Nothobranchius furzeri: one gene and its partner. Each later gene encodes a partner of the first gene's protein in a complex. Links are inferred from orthologs where the notes say so. Each region holds a gene or a part of one and is shown on either strand. Other genes may lie near its edges.

The links.
Region 2: the proteins of bckdha (region 1) and bckdhb are in contact, whole or in part, in a crystal structure (PDB 1V16), measured with the Homo sapiens proteins. The link is inferred for Nothobranchius furzeri from reciprocal best matches to the Homo sapiens genes BCKDHA and BCKDHB. Residues at the interface, in NP_000700.1 of Homo sapiens: Phe155, Leu185, Gly186, Lys187, Arg189, Gln190, Gly196, Cys197, Lys198, Phe202, Val203, Thr204, Ser206, Pro208, Thr211, Pro214, Gln215, Val217, Gly218, Ala219, Tyr221, Ala222, Arg225, Gly244, Asp245, Ala248, Asn251, Phe252, Thr255, Leu256; in NP_000047.1 of Homo sapiens: Pro89, Thr90, Val92, Asp117, Arg118, Phe120, Asn121, Thr122, Pro123, Cys125, Gln127, Gly128, Ile129, Gly131, Phe132, Ile134, Gly135, Ile136, Val138, Thr139, Asp158, Gln159, Asn162, Glu163, Ala165, Tyr167, Arg168, Tyr169, Arg170, Ser171.

Annotation. Positions count from the first base shown.
Region 1 is NC_091753.1:46,809,847-46,814,314, reverse strand, and holds the start of bckdha (2-oxoisovalerate dehydrogenase subunit alpha, mitochondrial), read left to right. Parts: upstream 1-1,582; 5' UTR 1,583-1,759; coding exon 1,760-1,873; intron 1,874-4,468. UniProt on the Homo sapiens protein: Together with BCKDHB forms the heterotetrameric E1 subunit of the mitochondrial branched-chain alpha-ketoacid dehydrogenase (BCKD) complex.
Region 2 is NC_091745.1:53,415,014-53,418,831, reverse strand, and holds part of bckdhb (2-oxoisovalerate dehydrogenase subunit beta, mitochondrial), read left to right. Parts: intron 1-2,998; coding exon 2,999-3,154; intron 3,155-3,818. UniProt on the Homo sapiens protein: Together with BCKDHA forms the heterotetrameric E1 subunit of the mitochondrial branched-chain alpha-ketoacid dehydrogenase (BCKD) complex.

The DNA of each region.
Region 1 (4,468 bases):
ATAAAAATATATCAGAACTTAAAGAAGATAATGCAATCCTCTTCAGACAAATAACAAACTGTTTGACATCAAAGAAATTTCTCTTTGGTCCTGATGCTCATACATTAGTAAAGATTATAAATATAAACAGAGATTTCAGTTTTTCTGGTAGTGTTTGATCAAAGAGCAATGTGACAAGAACAATAAGTTACTTAGAAGTTAAATACGTACATAAAAATAACCTGCAGTTGAGCCTCTTGACTTTTCTGTTTGCTAAATCAAGCCAAATGACTCTTCTATTAGCTGATGGATCCATTTTTAAATGTAAACAAGTCAAAATAGTTTGTTCACTTAATGTTATTAAATTTATAACTTATTCACTGATGAAAAAGTGGCATTTATTTATATTTCTGTCAAACTGGTGCAGAAATAAAGATCAGTCCCTTCTCCAGACACAACTACTGTACACGGCAGATAGCATGTAGGTCTAGTTATAGAAATGTACGTTTATAACTCATATTTCAGATTCAAATGAGTTTTATCTTGACTTTTTATCTGTAATCTGACCTGCTTAAGGGGTTGTTGTTTATTTTTTTATTTTTTTTCCCAGCAGGTGTATTTTATATAAATGATAAAACCAGTTTACCTTGAGGAATGTTAAAGTCTCCCAGTAAAGCACAGGAAACACTTCAGATAAATCTGAAAGTCTAAACATGTCAGATGTTGGGCTGGTTTGTTTGTGGGTAGTTTTATTACATGCTAGAGCTGCTCTCTGGAAGACTAAAGTCAGCAAACACAGAGATCGCAGAGAAAAGGTCCTACTCACTCGAGATGGAACTGAAGTCTGAAAGAGCATTTTAAATGATGCACCTGAGCTGTAACTATGGTAACGCAAGATTCCATAGCATTACCATAGTGACAGTCAATCATAGGTGACAGACAGCACTCCATAGAGCCTAAGCCACGCCCATCTACTTCCGGACCACGGGTCCCCAGAAAAACAAAAAAATGAATGCAAGTCAATGGTGCTAAAGACGCTATTTTCTAATTCTGCTTGTTATGTGCCATGGATTTCACATATGATGTCCATAAAGATGCATTTTAATACCAAGAACGTGCTTATTTTCGAAAGGGGGGGAGAGATTTTAAGTTTTGTGTAATAAGTCCAGGACTACAAATGCGCTTTATGAAAGTGACATCATCGAAGCAGACACGGAGAAAAACAGGGAAAATGGCAGAGATTCTGTGGTGACGTCATGTGTGCAACGTGCCGATGTCGGATTTGCTCATATATTAGTAAAGATTATAAATATAAGCAGAGATTTCAGTTTTTCTGGTAGTGTTTGATCAAAGAGCAATGTGACAAGAACAATAAGTTACTTAGAAGTTAAATACGTTCATAAAAATAACCTGCAAATGTCCGGAAATAAAGTGATTTTTTTATTAAAGTCAATATCAAGTTTCTATAAATAACAAAAGGGTCCAAGTAGAAGAGAAAAAAAAATTAAAGTGCAAGGAGCTAATGTGGACCACGGACACAGGACCCTAGAGGTTACTGGAATTAGTATCAACGTAAAACCAGTTTATGACCTGCAGGGGGCAGCAGCGTATCTGTTCTACCTCTGACCTACTGGTTCAAAGAAGAAGAGTGACAGGATGGACACAAACTGAAGGGTTTCAAGAGTTAAGTTTATTGTACCGTTAAGGTCTGGCATACCTGTACAGTTAGTTTACAAACACGCAATCTCACTGAATTAAACCAAGCGACTGGACTATCCGAATGGCGGCTGTGAGCGCAATGCGCAGAATCAATGGGATCTGCTTTCATGCTGTGCGTGAAACGAGAGGAATAAACGCACCAAGGCTGCTTCAGTGTAGATCCATCAGAATCAGCGTGAGTTGAAATGATTTGAACGTCTTCGTACGGAGATCCACATAGTTTCGGATGTTAACTTGGAAATCCTAGAGGTTATTTAAGGTGGTCTGAATGTGGCCTGGTAGGCTGCAGGAGACAATAAAAATAAGTATGTCTACACCAACTGGTGCAGATTATATGGAAGTAAATCTAACGTTTAGCAAAGTTCATGAGGTAAAAATTAGAATGAAACATTTTGAACACGCTTGACCTGTTAAATTATCGCGATACCTGAGTGTTAGCAGGTTATGCTAACAGATTCGGAAGCATACAATTTTCTTTTTTGTCTCTCTAAACTATTGCAGACAATCACAGTTACATGTTCACGGATGGATACCACATTGTTGTGTTAACGTTATGCGTTTTTTGTTTTGTGTCTGACGATCTTTGCCAGCTGGCTAAAGTTTAGGTTAGCTTGTTTCCAATTGGTCGAGTGAAGGGGCGTAAGGGATAAACCAGTCGGGCCACAAGTTTGTTTAATACACCTCCTACAGGTCATAATCATACAACAGCATCATGAGATGAATACAGCTCATAGTGCTGTCGAAAATTGCACCACTAAAGTAAACAAAGACGGCTTAGTTATAAAAGGTTTATAATTTTGAAATGCACTTTTACACTTTAGGATTGCTTGGCGGTACAGTTTGTAACATTGATGTCTAGGAGGTCACAAATTCCATGACCTGCATGTTTGCAACACCCCCACCCCCGTGCATGCGTGAGCTTCCTCGTAGACTAAAAACACGCATGTCAGGTTGAAAACTGTCCCTAGGCGTTTGAACGGTTCTGTGTGTCCCTGCACTAGAGACCTTTATCAGTTGTATTCAAATGCAGTGCAGTAATTGTCCAGCAGCATGCTCACACATACTTGTTTAAAGATGTGGAACACTGAGAAAAAATACTTAAAACTTATTTCTGATTATAATCAGTCACTCTTGAGTTTTTCATGCAGGCTGAACATGAAAACAATCTCCTACACCTATCTCCTGCATTAGCTTTTGCTAGAAAATACACAGTGAAAATCTAGGATTAGAAAATCCTGACAGATCTACATCACACTGTCACTGAACGTTCCTGAACCCACCTATCTTGACTCACGACAGGGAAGGCTGTAGATGGTTTAGCGCCCAGGAAACCGCAGAGAACGACTTGGCAAGTAGAAGCTAACGTTAGCATTAGAAACTCCCCCACACAGCAGAACTCCTTTAGGCTAAAGCTTGGTTTATGCTTGACGCGTCCGCGAGGTCCGCGCTGTGAAATTGCGTCATTTTAACAACCACGGCCCAAAATTTCCGCAACGCGCACCTATGAAAAAATTCTAACCATGCGGACGGTCGGACGTGGAAAAACATGGCGGACTGGCAAGAACTAGTATGGCAGAGGTTCGTAAATACAGACATTTGTATGATTCAGCTCTCAGAGATCACCTTGATCAACGTGTTGTTAATAAATCTTGGAGAGAAATAGCTTGCACTGTCGGAAAAGACGAGGACGCTGTTAAAAATGCTGGAATGCCATGTTGTAAACAACAGTAATTTCTACTATGGTTTAGTGTTGGATGCATGCCGTAGAGCTTCATGCTGCCCCGTTCAGTTTGGGAGAATATTGGCTCACCGCAGAGACAAGCCGCGTGAACCATAAACGCTGCGAGTTGTGAAGCGCGTTCCATCCGCGAGCCGCATCACCAAGCGGAAAGTGAATGCGTCAAGCATAAACCAAGCTTTAAGGTATTTGTGGAGATAAAACATCCACATTGCAAGTCAGTGGTAGAGTCATGTTGCTGTTATCCAACCCGAGGCAGGATGTTCCAATACAAGGAAAAAAGATTCCAAATCCTGCGCTCTGAAGCTCAGCTGGGATGTGGCTCACTTCTAGTTCCTGAAAATGGCACACCGCTGTTTTTCCCCCCAGAATATGACATACAAGGTATTCATTCCTACTAGAGACCACTACAGATGTATTGATTAAACAAGTGTTCAATACCTTTAAATCTGGATGGTGACTTTTCTTGCACTTGACAAAATTTGTGAAGGACACGTCTAAGCAGGAAGCACAACCGCTACAGAATATAACCTCTAAACTGTAAGTTAAAATAACATTATTATGATTGTACGATTGTATGTCTGTGTTCTTTATGCTGTTATTTCTGGTCATTCGGTATATTAAATGGGACAGCAGTAGCAAGACACCCACCTTGCCTGCTGGTAGTGGTCAGAGGGACTGGTGGTATCAGTGTTTGGCAGGATTCGCCTCTGTCAGCGCTCGCCAGGGCAGCTGTTGCTACGTTGTAGCTCCTCATCACCAACGTGTGAATGGATGAATAACTGATTGTCTTGTAAAGTGCCTTGGGGGTTGTAGAACCCTAAGAAGGCGCTATACAAATACAGGCTATTTACCATCTTCCTAGAAACTCAAATTTTCTATTATTATCCATTCTTTTATTTGATAAAGGTTACAATAGTAGCCTACTGCCTTTGTGTATTTACCTGTATTATTTAAGTGTATGTGCTGCCTTAACGAGTGAATTTTCCCTCTGTGGGATCCTTAAAGTCTATTCTGTTCTAACTTAACCAC
Region 2 (3,818 bases), on another chromosome or scaffold:
TTCTCCTGCTGTTGCATCACAAAAACTTCATAGGGAGTCACACCCACCTACTTCCAGACCATGGGTCCCCAACTGTCGAGAAAAAAAAAGAATGGAATCTGTGAGCAGATAAGTTATTTTATACACCAGCACAATGGATATCAAATGAAATGAACAAGATGTGCTTTAACTGCAGACTGTCAGCTTTTATTTGAGGGTATTTACATCCAAATCAGTTTCCCTCAGCGCTTTATAAGCCTGGCGGCCCGAGAGGCTTTGCTTGCCCACCCGCCAGGCTAAGCTTCATGCCCTGCCCCCCTCCCCGACCCTACTGTGTCTGCTGACACGTATGGCGCAGCAAATCTAGAGCCCTCCATCAGTTGATACTGGTGAGAAACAGCAGCGGAACATGTGCAACCACCCCACCCCCAATGTCACAGAGGAGCGCTGCGGGATGGATTATATTTTAATCTTAATTTTACCTTTTTCCTGTGTTTCCTCCGTGGGTGCCCTCTGCCCCGGGGGCGGTGGTCGGCTGTGGCGGCCTGCTTTCCAGGTGTGCCTAGGTGGAGGTGGGGGTCTTCGCCCTCGCTGCCCTGGGCGCCCTGTGTCGGTGCCTCGGCTGCTGCTGTGAATCTGCTGCTGTCGGGGCGGATGACTCCCCTGATGGCGTTTCCTTGTCCATATCTTAGCTGGTCTGGCTCGTCTGATCTCAGTCCATTGTGTTTTTTTCCTTGGGGAGGGGCATGCATGTGTGTGTGTGCATGTGTGTGTGTGTGTGTGTGTGTGCGTGTCTGCGTGCGTGTGTGCCAGAGGATGAGTGTTGTGAGGGGGATTTTATTGTCAGACTGTTTTTAGTGGCTAGGTTCTTGACAGGTACTAGATGCCGAGATCACATTACTCCAGTGCTGGCTGCCGGTGCAATATCGAGCTAAATTTAAGATCCTAACTCTTGTTTATGAGGCCCTCCAGGGCAGTGCCCCCTCTTGCATTACTGCACTTTTGCACAAGTATGTTCCATCTCGGTCTCTTCGCTCAGCCGAGCAGGTCCCCGAGGTGGTCCCACGGTCCAAATATCGATCTAGGGGTTATCGTTAGGGCTGTAGCGAAGCCTCGACGACGTCGACGGCTCAATTCTAAAAATTTGTCGACGTCAGATCCGGAAGTCGACGCACCGCGCCCACTTGTTGCATCCCCAGGAGTTTGTAAATAGAGGAGGAATCTGCCTGTTTTTCCTCTAGTTCGCCCTCTTCTCCGCCTTCAATAACATCTCCGCCAAATACCGAAGACCCGGAACAATGTCCGTCCACTACTAGATCATTTTCCTGTGTTGCCCGCCTTCGTCTCCCGGCAACGGACAACAACTTCCGGGGTCAGATGCGCTGCTTCGTCTCTACCGCAGATGTAGGACATCACCGGGAGCGTTTCTCCCTTCATTAAGGAGCTTCTTTCAGACATTAGGAGAGCTGTTTTGGTGGTATCAGTCTCTCCTCCGTGCTGGTCTGTTTGCTGCTGGGTGGTTTTGGTTTATTTAAATTTGGTAACTTGAACTTAATGTTGGTAAAGCTACTGTTGGCATCTTCGCTAACAGCTTCTTGCGTTTGGATAAGCTGTTACGTTTTGGTTTAGAGTTCATCTTTTTTGTGGTGCAGATCTCCCTTTTATTACATTTAGAGTGTTGTGGGTTTTCGGTTTAGTGTAAAATATCACCTTAAGTTTGGTTTAACCACCCAGTTTAGAGTTTGGACTTTTGGAGATCCTTATTTTGGTCCAGAACTCAGTAATCGTTGCCCAGTGGGACATCCCTAGTTATTTGTACTTTGTTTTAATTCTCCACAGGCAGAATTAGTTTTATTATTCCCAACCTGTGGATGGAAAGATTTATGAGTTTTTGTAGTTGTAAATAAACCTGATCATCATTTTAACTTTTAAATCCCGTTATTGTCCCTTCCTTTTTGCACACGAGCCAAACTCCCCAGGAAGGGTCGTAACACCACTCGCCTCACGCACATAAGTGACCAAAACAAAGCAGCATGGCGACACTCCATCTTCTACCACCTCTCAGGCAGCAGCCTGCACTCCCAAGTTCTACATGTCACCAGAACATAACCAACCGCAACACAATAAAAGCAGTGTTACACAAAATGGAAGGCCTGTAGTGTTTATTCTCTTACAGTAAGAATTTATCAATTTTTTGAGGAATTTATTTGAGATTTTCTGGTTTTTGTTAATTGTGCAATAGAAAAATAATCATTAGATTAATTTTCTAAATAGTCATTAGAATAGTCGACTATTCGATAAAATAATCGTCAGAATAATCGTTTTAAAAATAATCGTTTACCCCCAGCCCTAGTTATCGTGTATTTTCTGTTTTGGCTCCAACTCTGTGGAATGAATTGCCATTGACCATTAGGCAGGCACTGTCCCTTCAAGTCTTTAAGTCTCGTTTAAAGACTCATTTCTATTTGATTGCTTTTCAGCGATAGGTTTCATTGAATTGCCCTGTCATTATGGTTTTTAATACTTCTTCTTTTTGATCAAGATGCTTGATCTTATTTTGTCCACCATTTGTTTTTAATTGATTAGTCTCATTCCGTTACCTCTCTGTATTTGTAATATTGCTTGCTTGTTATTTTTTGATTTAATGTTTTTATCTTGCTCTTATGCCCAGGTACTGAGAATGTTTTTATGATGCTGTTCAGCACTTTGGGCTTCTGATAACATTGTGGAAGGTGCTCTACAAATAAAATTGATTGATTGATTGATTGATTAAAATTCAGGGGATGGGAGTGAATGTCGGTATGCGGGCCCTTTTTAATTTTTTAAGCACTTTGAGTTGCATGCATTGTATGATTAAGTGCTATATAAATAAAGATTTGAGTTTGAGAAAATAAAAAAAGTGTTTTGATGATAAAATCTGTTATTTCACAAGCAAGCAGGACAACATATCACATATTTACAAACAGCTGTCAAATAACATATAAAAGTATGATTCCAATTAGCTTTTGTCTCTTTCCAGATTGTGAATGAAGCAGCCAAGTACCGCTACCGTTCTGGGAACTTGTTTGACTGTGGGAATCTCACCATTCGGGCTCCGTGGGGTTGCGTTGGCCATGGGTCCCTTTACCACTCACAGAGTCCCGAAGCCTTCTTTGTCCACTGCCCTGGTATCAAGGTAAACCTCTTTACACATTTGAATTCAATGAGAATTAATTATTGGGGATGGACAATATATCAGCATCAATATTGTTATCGGCCGATGTTAGTCATTTTTTAACATATCGGTATCGGTTCGAAAAAAAAAAAAAACGGGCCGATATTATCAACCATTTTTTTTTCCATCTGGTCACCATTTGTTTGCTTGCTTCAGAGGGTGAGGGGAGTTTATGTGTAATTGTTTAGTCATGTCACAGTGATTGTAATAATCTCAGAAGTGTAAATGTATGTGGTGTGTGTACATAATAACGTAAATTCAGCTTTAATAATTTTTATTCTATACAAAATCTGCAGATTTTAGAAGCATTAATGTCAGTACATCGATATCGGCAAATATCGGTTATCGGCCATCACAGTGATCTTAATATCTATATCGGCCCAAAAATTTCATATCGGTGCATCACTACTGCTCATGTCTGGTCTGTGGCTGATGCACTTTTCAACACTAACATTTCAATATGTTAATGATTATATGTGCAGCATAAACAGATGAAAGGCAGTCTAATTGACTCTTCTAGATGAATACCTCATGTTCTTATTACTAAACTGTTTCCCATCTGGTTTATCAGGTCTTAGTGTGTTAAGGCTAAACCCTTTTACCTAGTGCTCCCCATTAATTAGTC